2 linked regions of the Oryctolagus cuniculus genome follow. The protein of the gene in region 1 interacts with the protein of each later gene in a biochemical or structural test. Links are inferred from orthologs where the notes say so. Each region holds a gene or a part of one and is shown in the gene's direction. Other genes may lie near its edges.

Region 1 (4,457 bases):
ATTTGTTCATCTTGATTAGAACCGTGATCAGAGTGCTCATTTTTCTCATTACGTCCATCTTTTTTCCTTAGTACAATAAATAAAGAACAGTTTTCAAAGAGAAAAAACGACACACTGGATCCTGAACTGTAAGTAGTTCTTTTATTGTTTTCTTTTTTTGAGATTTATTTATTTGAAAGGCAGAGTCAGAGAGAGAGATCTTTATCCACTGGTTCACTCCCCAAATGGCAGCAACAGCCAGGGTTGGGCCAGGCTGAAAGCCAGGAGCTTCTTCAGTCCTCACACATGCGTGCAGAGACCCAAGGACTTGGGTCATCCTCCATGGCTTGTTGGAAGTGGAGCATCTGGGACTTGAACCAGGTGCCCATAATGGATACCGGCATTGCAGGCATTGGCTTAACTGGGTAATGCCACGATGCTGGCCCCTGTTGTTTTCAGTGACCTAAATGCACGTAACATGTCTACCATAGCCAGCAGAAATGTGAAAGACACTCCAGTACTAAGGATGCTTGTCTACATTCAGTTAGTACTCATGTATGTTCCACTAAATTAACTTAATGTTTGGGCATTTCATGGGCCTAAGTGAAGCACCAAGTTACCTCTGCTGGCCACGATGTGTTCCAGCCCTGTTCCTTCTGCATTTTCAGGCCATAACTCATACTCCTTCAGTTTATAGTGAGACCTTTTGAAGCCTGGAGCCCTGAAAAATGCAGTACTCCTATGTGTCCTAAAAAGAGTAGGATGGCGTTGCTCATAAGTTGGTTTTTTGTTTTGTTTTTTTTGTTGTTGTTGTTGGTTTTATTTATTTTTTTTCTGACAGAGTTAGACAGAGAGAGACAGAGAGAAAGGTCTTCCTTCTGTTGGTTCATCCCCCAAAAGGCCATTATGGCTGGCGCACTGCGCCAATCCGAAGCCAGGAGCCAGGTGCTTCCTCCTGGTCTCCCATGCGGGTGCAGGGCCCAAGCACCTGGGCCATCCTCCACTGCCTCCCCAGGCCACAGCAGAGAGCTGGACTGGAAGAGGAGCAACCGGGACAGAATCCGGCGCCCCAACTGGGACTAGAACCCGGGGTGTTGGCACTGCAGGTGGAGGATTAGCCTAGTGAGCCGCGGCGCTGGCCGTTGCTCATAAGTTTTAACAGCAAGTAATCTTTCTCATCTCCTTTCCAGTCAGATTTAATGACTGAATTTTCTCTTTGCAGTTTGCTCTGCTCATAACACTAAAGAACTCTTTTAAAAGTAAAAATTTGGTTAAAACAATTTTTTCAATTCATTAGACTTTTTTACCTTAGTTATCTTTGCATCGTCAGGAATCACAGGAAACGGTTGGTTAGAGATCTGGGATTAATGCTGGAATCGCTTTGCACCTCCAGGTTCGTAGAGTGTACCGAGTGTGGAAGAAAGATGCACCAGATATGTGCCCTCCATCATGAGATCATCTGGCCAGTGGGGTGAGGCTTAGGTCTTCTTTGCAGTGACTATCATTTCTTCAACAATTACTGTCTTTAACAGTTTTTCTGTTGATTGGGAAAGGGTCGTTACAGTCCAGTTTTAACACATTAAAAGTCCTAGAATCTGAAAATAAAAAATAGATCTTTCTCTTATTTGCATGCATTCTTCAATTCATACATTTTTCTTTCTTTTTCTTTTTTTTTTTGGGGGGGGGGGCTATTGTACATCAAAAGTAAACCTGGTAGATAAGGCATCTGGAAAGTAGCAAGCAGGTATTAGATGTGATTAAATTTGGCAGATTTTGAATTTATTTGTATTACAATAGAAAAATTAGGAGGACAGGGCATCAAAGGGGACAACTCTGTTGCTACTGCAGAAAACACACACTAAGCAGTGATCAGAGTAAGGACTGTCTGCTAGTAGTGAAGACAAGAAGCTGCAGAGCTGTAGTCATGGTGTCCTGACTCTTCCTGTCCCCGAATGAGGCTTCCTGGCTGTGTTCCCAAGTCGGGGGGGCGGGGTCTGGGTCACAGTACCTCTTGGTAGGATGGAGTCACCACATTGCTTCTGTTCCTCTCCTGCTCTGATTGTTGATGTTGATTCGGTGGTCATGGGAGAGGGGAACTGACGGATTTTGTGAAAATGGCAGTAGCTACATTTCAGTTTTCAGTGAGACTTGTCTTTAAGTGCACCTTTTTAGTTAGTACTTGCCTTAATCACACACTTTATAGGAATGACTAAGATACTTCTAAGTAATTCTTACAATTTGGGATCTGATGGTTAGAGATAAACTCCTTAATTAATTTATTAAGATTGCTTTTTCTTATTCTAATACTTTAAAATTTCAGAGTAAAGGAAATAGTGAAGGTCTTGCCTTCTCCCCTCTTACTCAGATTGCCGCAAGAATAACCATGGCCAACAGTTTACAGTTTACAGACCTTTTCTATGCACATTCATAATTTTATTGTTCACATGTAATGTTCTGAATTTTTTATTCTTACCTCATAGATTATGGACATTCATATTTATTTGAGGGGCAGTGATGCCTAGAGAGCTGCCGACTACTAGTTCCCTCCCCAGATGCATGCACGGCTGCCATTTCAGTCCAGGTCCCTGAAGTGGGTGGCAGGGACTCCAGGACTTGCTGTCCTCTGCCCCTGCAGCATGAGGCTCAGCAGAGTGGGAGTGGGAAGGAGAGCTGAGAACTCGGGCACTCTCGCGGGGCAGGATCCCCAGGGCACCTTTCATGAGATGCTGCTGTACACACGTTGTAAGCAGTTGCGGGAACGGAGGGATGTGTGCACGTTGTGCACCTGTTAGTCCTGCTCTCAGTGCATCCCCGTGTCAGCACCTGTGCCCGTGTGATTGGCAGCACAGAGCTCCCATCTTCGCTTGTAATCTCTGCAATCAGTTTATTTGCCCTTCACATTTCTTCCTGTCTATTACCGTTTTCCCATTAGGTTGTCTTTTTGTTGTACTAATTTCTGAAAGTTCTATGTATATTGCGTGTGTTCCCATTTTGTTAGCTATGTAGAGAGATTTCTGCCAGGTTGTTTCTTGAATATTTTACTCAAATAGTGGGTTTTGTTACAGATGCTTCTTTAAGTGCTTCTCTGAGTTGTGTAAGCAAAGCTTGGTTTACATTTTAGATTTGTCTGTGATGGCTGCTTAAAGAAAACTGCACGAACTAGAAAAGAAAACAAGTTTTCTGCTAAAAGTAAGTTACTTTCTTACAGATAAGTCTGGCAAAGTTTCTCTGAAGCCTAGTTAAGAAACCATCCAACATGAATTATTTTAACTTTAATTATAATTATTTAGCCAGAGTTAAAATAAATCTGTGATCTACTTAGAACTGAACTGTAATGTGCTTTTTGATGTAAAATTCCTGAGACCTAAAAGCAGAAAATTATCAAAAAAAAAAAGGATTGTAAAATATACAAGACACATGTTTTTCTTACTGGGGAATTTCTCCTTGTTTCATAATAAAGGCCAGAGGTTGATAAGAATTGCCATCCCTTGAGTGTTCTATTAGCATTTATAGAGGACACCTTTAAGCCTTACCTGATGTTTTCGCTGGTGGAGAGGTCAAATTGTATTACACACATTATTGATACAGACGATCTCACTGAAGTATCAGGTTTAGTTTTCTTCATGCCTTGTAGTATTTTGTGGTTGCTCTTGATTCCTGTAATTCTCCACCATTGTTATTAAAATATCATTGTAGTCCGTGCAAAGTATATGTGGATGTTCATTGGTGTATATTTTTAACTTCCAAAATTGAAATATTTTCCAAATAAAAATTTAGAATATTGAGTACCATACCTATTGTAACAATGCAATACACCAAAAATGGAACAACACCCAAGAAGTTAACATGGCCCCTGCGCTAGTATGATATGATCGATATATACTGACTACCTTTTTGTTGTTGTTGTTTGAAAAGAGCACAGTTGCCATTTGAACCTTAAGAGTGATGTTACAGATGTGCCTCTTGGTAACTTAACTTGTCTGTTTCTAGGGTTGCCGTCTACCAGACTTGGCACCTTTCTGGAGAATCGTGTAAATGACTTTCTGAGGCGGCAAAATCACCCCGAGTCTGGAGAGGTCACTGTTAGAGTAGTTCATGCTTCTGACAAAACTGTGGAAGTCAAGCCAGGCATGAAAGCAAGGTATCTGATATTTCTCTTCTCTTCTTTCATGAATGCAGAGTTGCTTATACGTGCTTTCTTTTGGTGATTGCAATCTGAATGAGGCATGTTGTGGTTTTCCCCTCCGATCTGACTTGTATAGGTTTGTAGATAGTGGAGAGATGGCAGAATCCTTTCCATACCGAACCAAAGCCCTCTTTGCCTTTGAAGAGATTGACGGTGTTGACTTGTGTTTCTTTGGAATGCACGTTCAAGAGTATGGCTCTGACTGCCCTCCACCCAACCAGAGGTATGGTTGCCTTATTACTGTGACTAGCTTCTCTTTGTGTGGGAGTTTTAAGTTACAATAGATGGAAGA
Region 2 (3,714 bases), on another chromosome or scaffold:
ACAACAACAAAAAGCGAATTACCACCCTCGCCCACGGCTCTGTAAGAATTAGATGATAAAGCACAAAAAACCTCATGAGCAATGAGCCACAATTTCCTTGGCTTCCACTTTCTGTTCAAGTTAAATTTGTGTCCAAAATATTTTAACCCTAGAAACTCGACACTCACGCACTGGATAAAAACTTATCCCTGAAATAATTATGAGAAACTGAATTGAACATTTGGACAAACTAAACTTCTCACAAATTTACGTGTAATTAACTGCACTGAAAACAGCTGAAGAACCTTTGACCCAAGTTGAAGCCGTGTGCACACTGATAGCCCACCTCACCCTTACAAACTCCAAGAAACGAAGCCCAGAGACACTCCTCACCCAGACGTCATTACAACTTCTTTCAAGTGAGTTTGTGGGTGGCTCTGAAAAGAGCCTTTTTGGAATCCGATAAGCTTACAGGATTCACGCCCGCTCCCCGCGGATGCGGCGCGCCAGCTGGATGTCTTTGGGCATGATGGTGACGCGCTTGGCGTGGATGGCGCAGAGGTTGGTGTCCTCGAAGAGGCCGACGAGGTAGGCCTCGCAGGCCTCCTGCAGCGCCATGACGGCCGAGCTCTGGAAGCGCAGGTCCGTCTTGAAGTCCTGCGCGATCTCGCGCACCAGGCGCTGGAAGGGCAGCTTGCGGATGAGCAGCTCGGTGGACTTCTGGTAGCGCCGGATCTCGCGCAGCGCCACCGTGCCGGGCCGGTAGCGGTGCGGCTTCTTGACGCCGCCCGTGGCCGGCGCGCTCTTGCGGGCCGCCTTGGTGGCCAGCTGCTTGCGCGGCGCCTTGCCGCCTGTTGACTTGCGCGCTGTCTGCTTAGTACGAGCCATCTCGCGCCGGTGGGACTCAAACTTCTTGTCTGCGGCGACAGAGCTGCCTTTAAATATCGTTAGGACTACTGTGATTGGCTTCCGGATTTTCAAAAAATCCGCGCGACAAACTCATTGGCTAAAGGAGGAACTTCGATGATTGGTCCACTCAGACAACCTGATTGGCCGGATTCATCCACTGTCCGTTTGGGATGGTAGACGTTTTCTAACATCTGGATCATTCCATCTCAGAAGCGTACCTAACCGTGGAGGGAGATTACCTCAGTAACAGGCCCTAGCGTGGACCCCGAAATCCCTAATTACCTGGGCCTGCCGTCTAATAGCGCCCGATAAACACTGAGCCACGGAAAGGTGCCCTGACTTAAGGCAAAACGCGTTTTACGTTTGAAACAGCTGCACCTCGGGGGCTATTTCCCGACTGACACACCCCCCGTCACTGTGTGGCCTTTCATCCGTCACAATAAATACACGTTTCACTTGTTTCCACAGTTTTCTTAAGCGCTAACGCTATCACCATGGGAAGGACTAATTCCAGTCAGGGTTAGCAGCTTTTTTGTGAAACAGTGGATGGCCCTGAAAAGAGCCTTTGGGTATTTCAAAGCGAGAGTTGCGTCGTCTTTACTGTGGTTTCACTTGCCCTTGGCCTTGTGGTGGCTCTCGGTCTTCTTGGGCAGCAGCACGGCCTGGATGTTGGGCAGCACGCCGCCCTGCGCGATGGTGACGCGGCCCAGCAGCTTGTTGAGCTCCTCGTCGTTGCGGATGGCCAGCTGCAGGTGGCGCGGGATGATGCGCGTCTTCTTGTTGTCGCGCGCCGCGTTGCCCGCCAGCTCCAGGATCTCGGCCGTCAGGTACTCGAGCACGGCCGCCAGGTACACTGGGGCGCCGGCGCCCACGCGTTCCGAGTAGTTGCCCTTGCGCAGCAGGCGGTGCACGCGACCCACGGGGAACTGGAGCCCGGCCCGGGAGGAGCGGGTCTTGGCCTTGGCGCGCGCCTTGCCGCCTTGCTTGCCACGCCCAGACATGGTACAGCCAAACACGCTTCGCAATCTGAAGTAAAGAAAACCATACCCGCCAAGACTGTGCTTTTATAAGCAGCGCAGGGCTACTACAGTACGTCATCCTATTGGTCGAAATAGGTTCGCCTTTTCTGCCCAATAGGAAAAGACAACCCGGATACCTTATTTGCATAAACAACCCCCCTAGAGAAAATTTCTTTGTTGTCCAATCAGAAGTGAGAAGTCTCAAACCCTCATTTGAATTACGGGACTATAAATATATGCACTCCGGCCTGTCATCACTAATCAGCTGTAGACTGAGTCTGTTTTAGTCTCTCAGCCAATATTAAAAGCAATGCCTGAACCCTCCAAATCCGCTCCCGCCCCCAAAAAGGGCTCCAAGAAGGCGATAACAAAGGCGCAGAAGAAGGATGGCAAGAAGCGCAAGCGCAGTCGCAAGGAGAGTTACTCCATCTACGTGTACAAGGTGCTCAAGCAGGTGCACCCCGACACCGGCATCTCGTCCAAGGCCATGGGCATCATGAACTCGTTCGTCAACGACATCTTCGAGCGCATCGCCGGCGAGGCCTCGCGCCTGGCGCACTACAACAAGCGCTCGACCATCACGTCGCGCGAGATCCAGACGGCCGTGCGCCTGCTGCTGCCTGGTGAGCTGGCCAAGCACGCCGTGTCCGAGGGCACCAAGGCTGTCACCAAGTACACCAGCTCCAAGTGAGCTCCCGAATTGGCGCCGCCGCCCCTCACCCCAAAGGCTCTTTTCAGAGCCACCAACTCTTTCACAAATAGAGCTGTGGCCGACGTCCTTGTATTTTGCTCCTGTTGAGGTGGGTTTAGGTCGGGTGTTAGGGCTGGCGTTAGTGACGACCCCAGAACGCGTGTTTATCCCGTGCAGGTCGGCGCTGAGTAACCTTAGGGCACTTTGGTCGGGGTCGGGGACTGGGGTTCGCGATGTGATGGGAGATGCGCATTTCGTGAACTCGGGTTCGCATGAGCTTTGAAGAGCCCCCTCTAACATCTCCAGCTCCTCGACAGTGAAATGGAGTGAAATTCCTGCAGTTCTCCCTGTTACCTACCTGTAGCCACTAATCACGTCGGCTAAGCAGTCCTTGAGTCTTCAGAAATCCATGGATCACCTATTGGATGGGGCGGATTTTTCTCAAGAATGGAGCCTTGATACTGGCTGGAGTCAGGATGCGATCTGAATCCCGCGCCTTTCCTGGTTCGCGGCCAGCCACTGGCTGAGGGGAGGGGCCAGGGCGCGTCGGGGCGGAGGTTGGCCAGTGCCGTGGCTTTAGAGCGACTCTGGAGTGGTTCCCAGAGGTTCGCGCGCCACTGTGACCGACACCGCCTGTCTGGGCGCGCAAAACGCTGGTGTGAAAGAGAAGCTGGCCTGGCAATCCCACCCCACAAAACCTGCAAACACCGGCCGCAGCGTCAGCAGCTGCCCTGGAGGACTGAGACACCCCCCCCCCCCCCCCCCCGGTATTCGTATTCTCAAAATGCCTCATCTCTGATAACTTTTTTTTAAGATTTATTTACTTGAGAAGCCAGGAGCTTCTTCCGGGTCTCCCACACAGGTGCAGGAGCCCAAGGACTTGGGCCATCTTCTGCTCTCCCAGGTCATAGCAGAGAGCTGGATCTGAAGAGGAGCAGTTGGGATTCAAACCATTGACTTTATGGGGTGCAGGCACTGCAGGTGGTGGCTCTAGTTGCTAATCATAATGCTGGCCCAGAAAATATTCCAACGTATGCCCATAGGGAATGCAGGTGCTGCAGGCTGCAGCTTTAACTCGCTGTACCACAGCACCGGCCCCTCTATTATCTTCTTAAA

What was found.
Region 2: of the proteins of EP300 (region 1) and histone H2B type 1-B, one has a biochemical effect on the other in vitro, tested with the Homo sapiens proteins (8 studies listed by BioGRID, with this or other methods). The link is inferred for Oryctolagus cuniculus from reciprocal best matches to the Homo sapiens genes EP300 and H2BC3.

Annotation. Positions count from the first base shown.
Region 1 is NC_091442.1:117,233,638-117,238,094, forward strand, and holds part of EP300 (histone acetyltransferase p300), read left to right. Parts: intron 1-71; coding exon 72-128; intron 129-1,372; coding exon 1,373-1,450; intron 1,451-3,100; coding exon 3,101-3,168; intron 3,169-3,969; coding exon 3,970-4,120; intron 4,121-4,241; coding exon 4,242-4,388; intron 4,389-4,457. UniProt on the Homo sapiens protein: Functions as a histone acetyltransferase and regulates transcription via chromatin remodeling. Acetylates all four core histones in nucleosomes. Histone acetylation gives an epigenetic tag for transcriptional activation.
Region 2 is NC_091436.1:153,351,884-153,355,597, reverse strand, and holds histone H2B type 1-B, read left to right. Parts: upstream 1-1,889; 5' UTR 1,890-2,217; coding exon 2,218-2,598; 3' UTR 2,599-2,654; downstream 2,655-3,714. Other genes in the region: histone H3.1, read right to left, coding at 457-867; histone H2A type 1-B, read right to left, coding at 1,497-1,889. UniProt on the Homo sapiens protein: Core component of nucleosome. Nucleosomes wrap and compact DNA into chromatin, limiting DNA accessibility to the cellular machineries which require DNA as a template.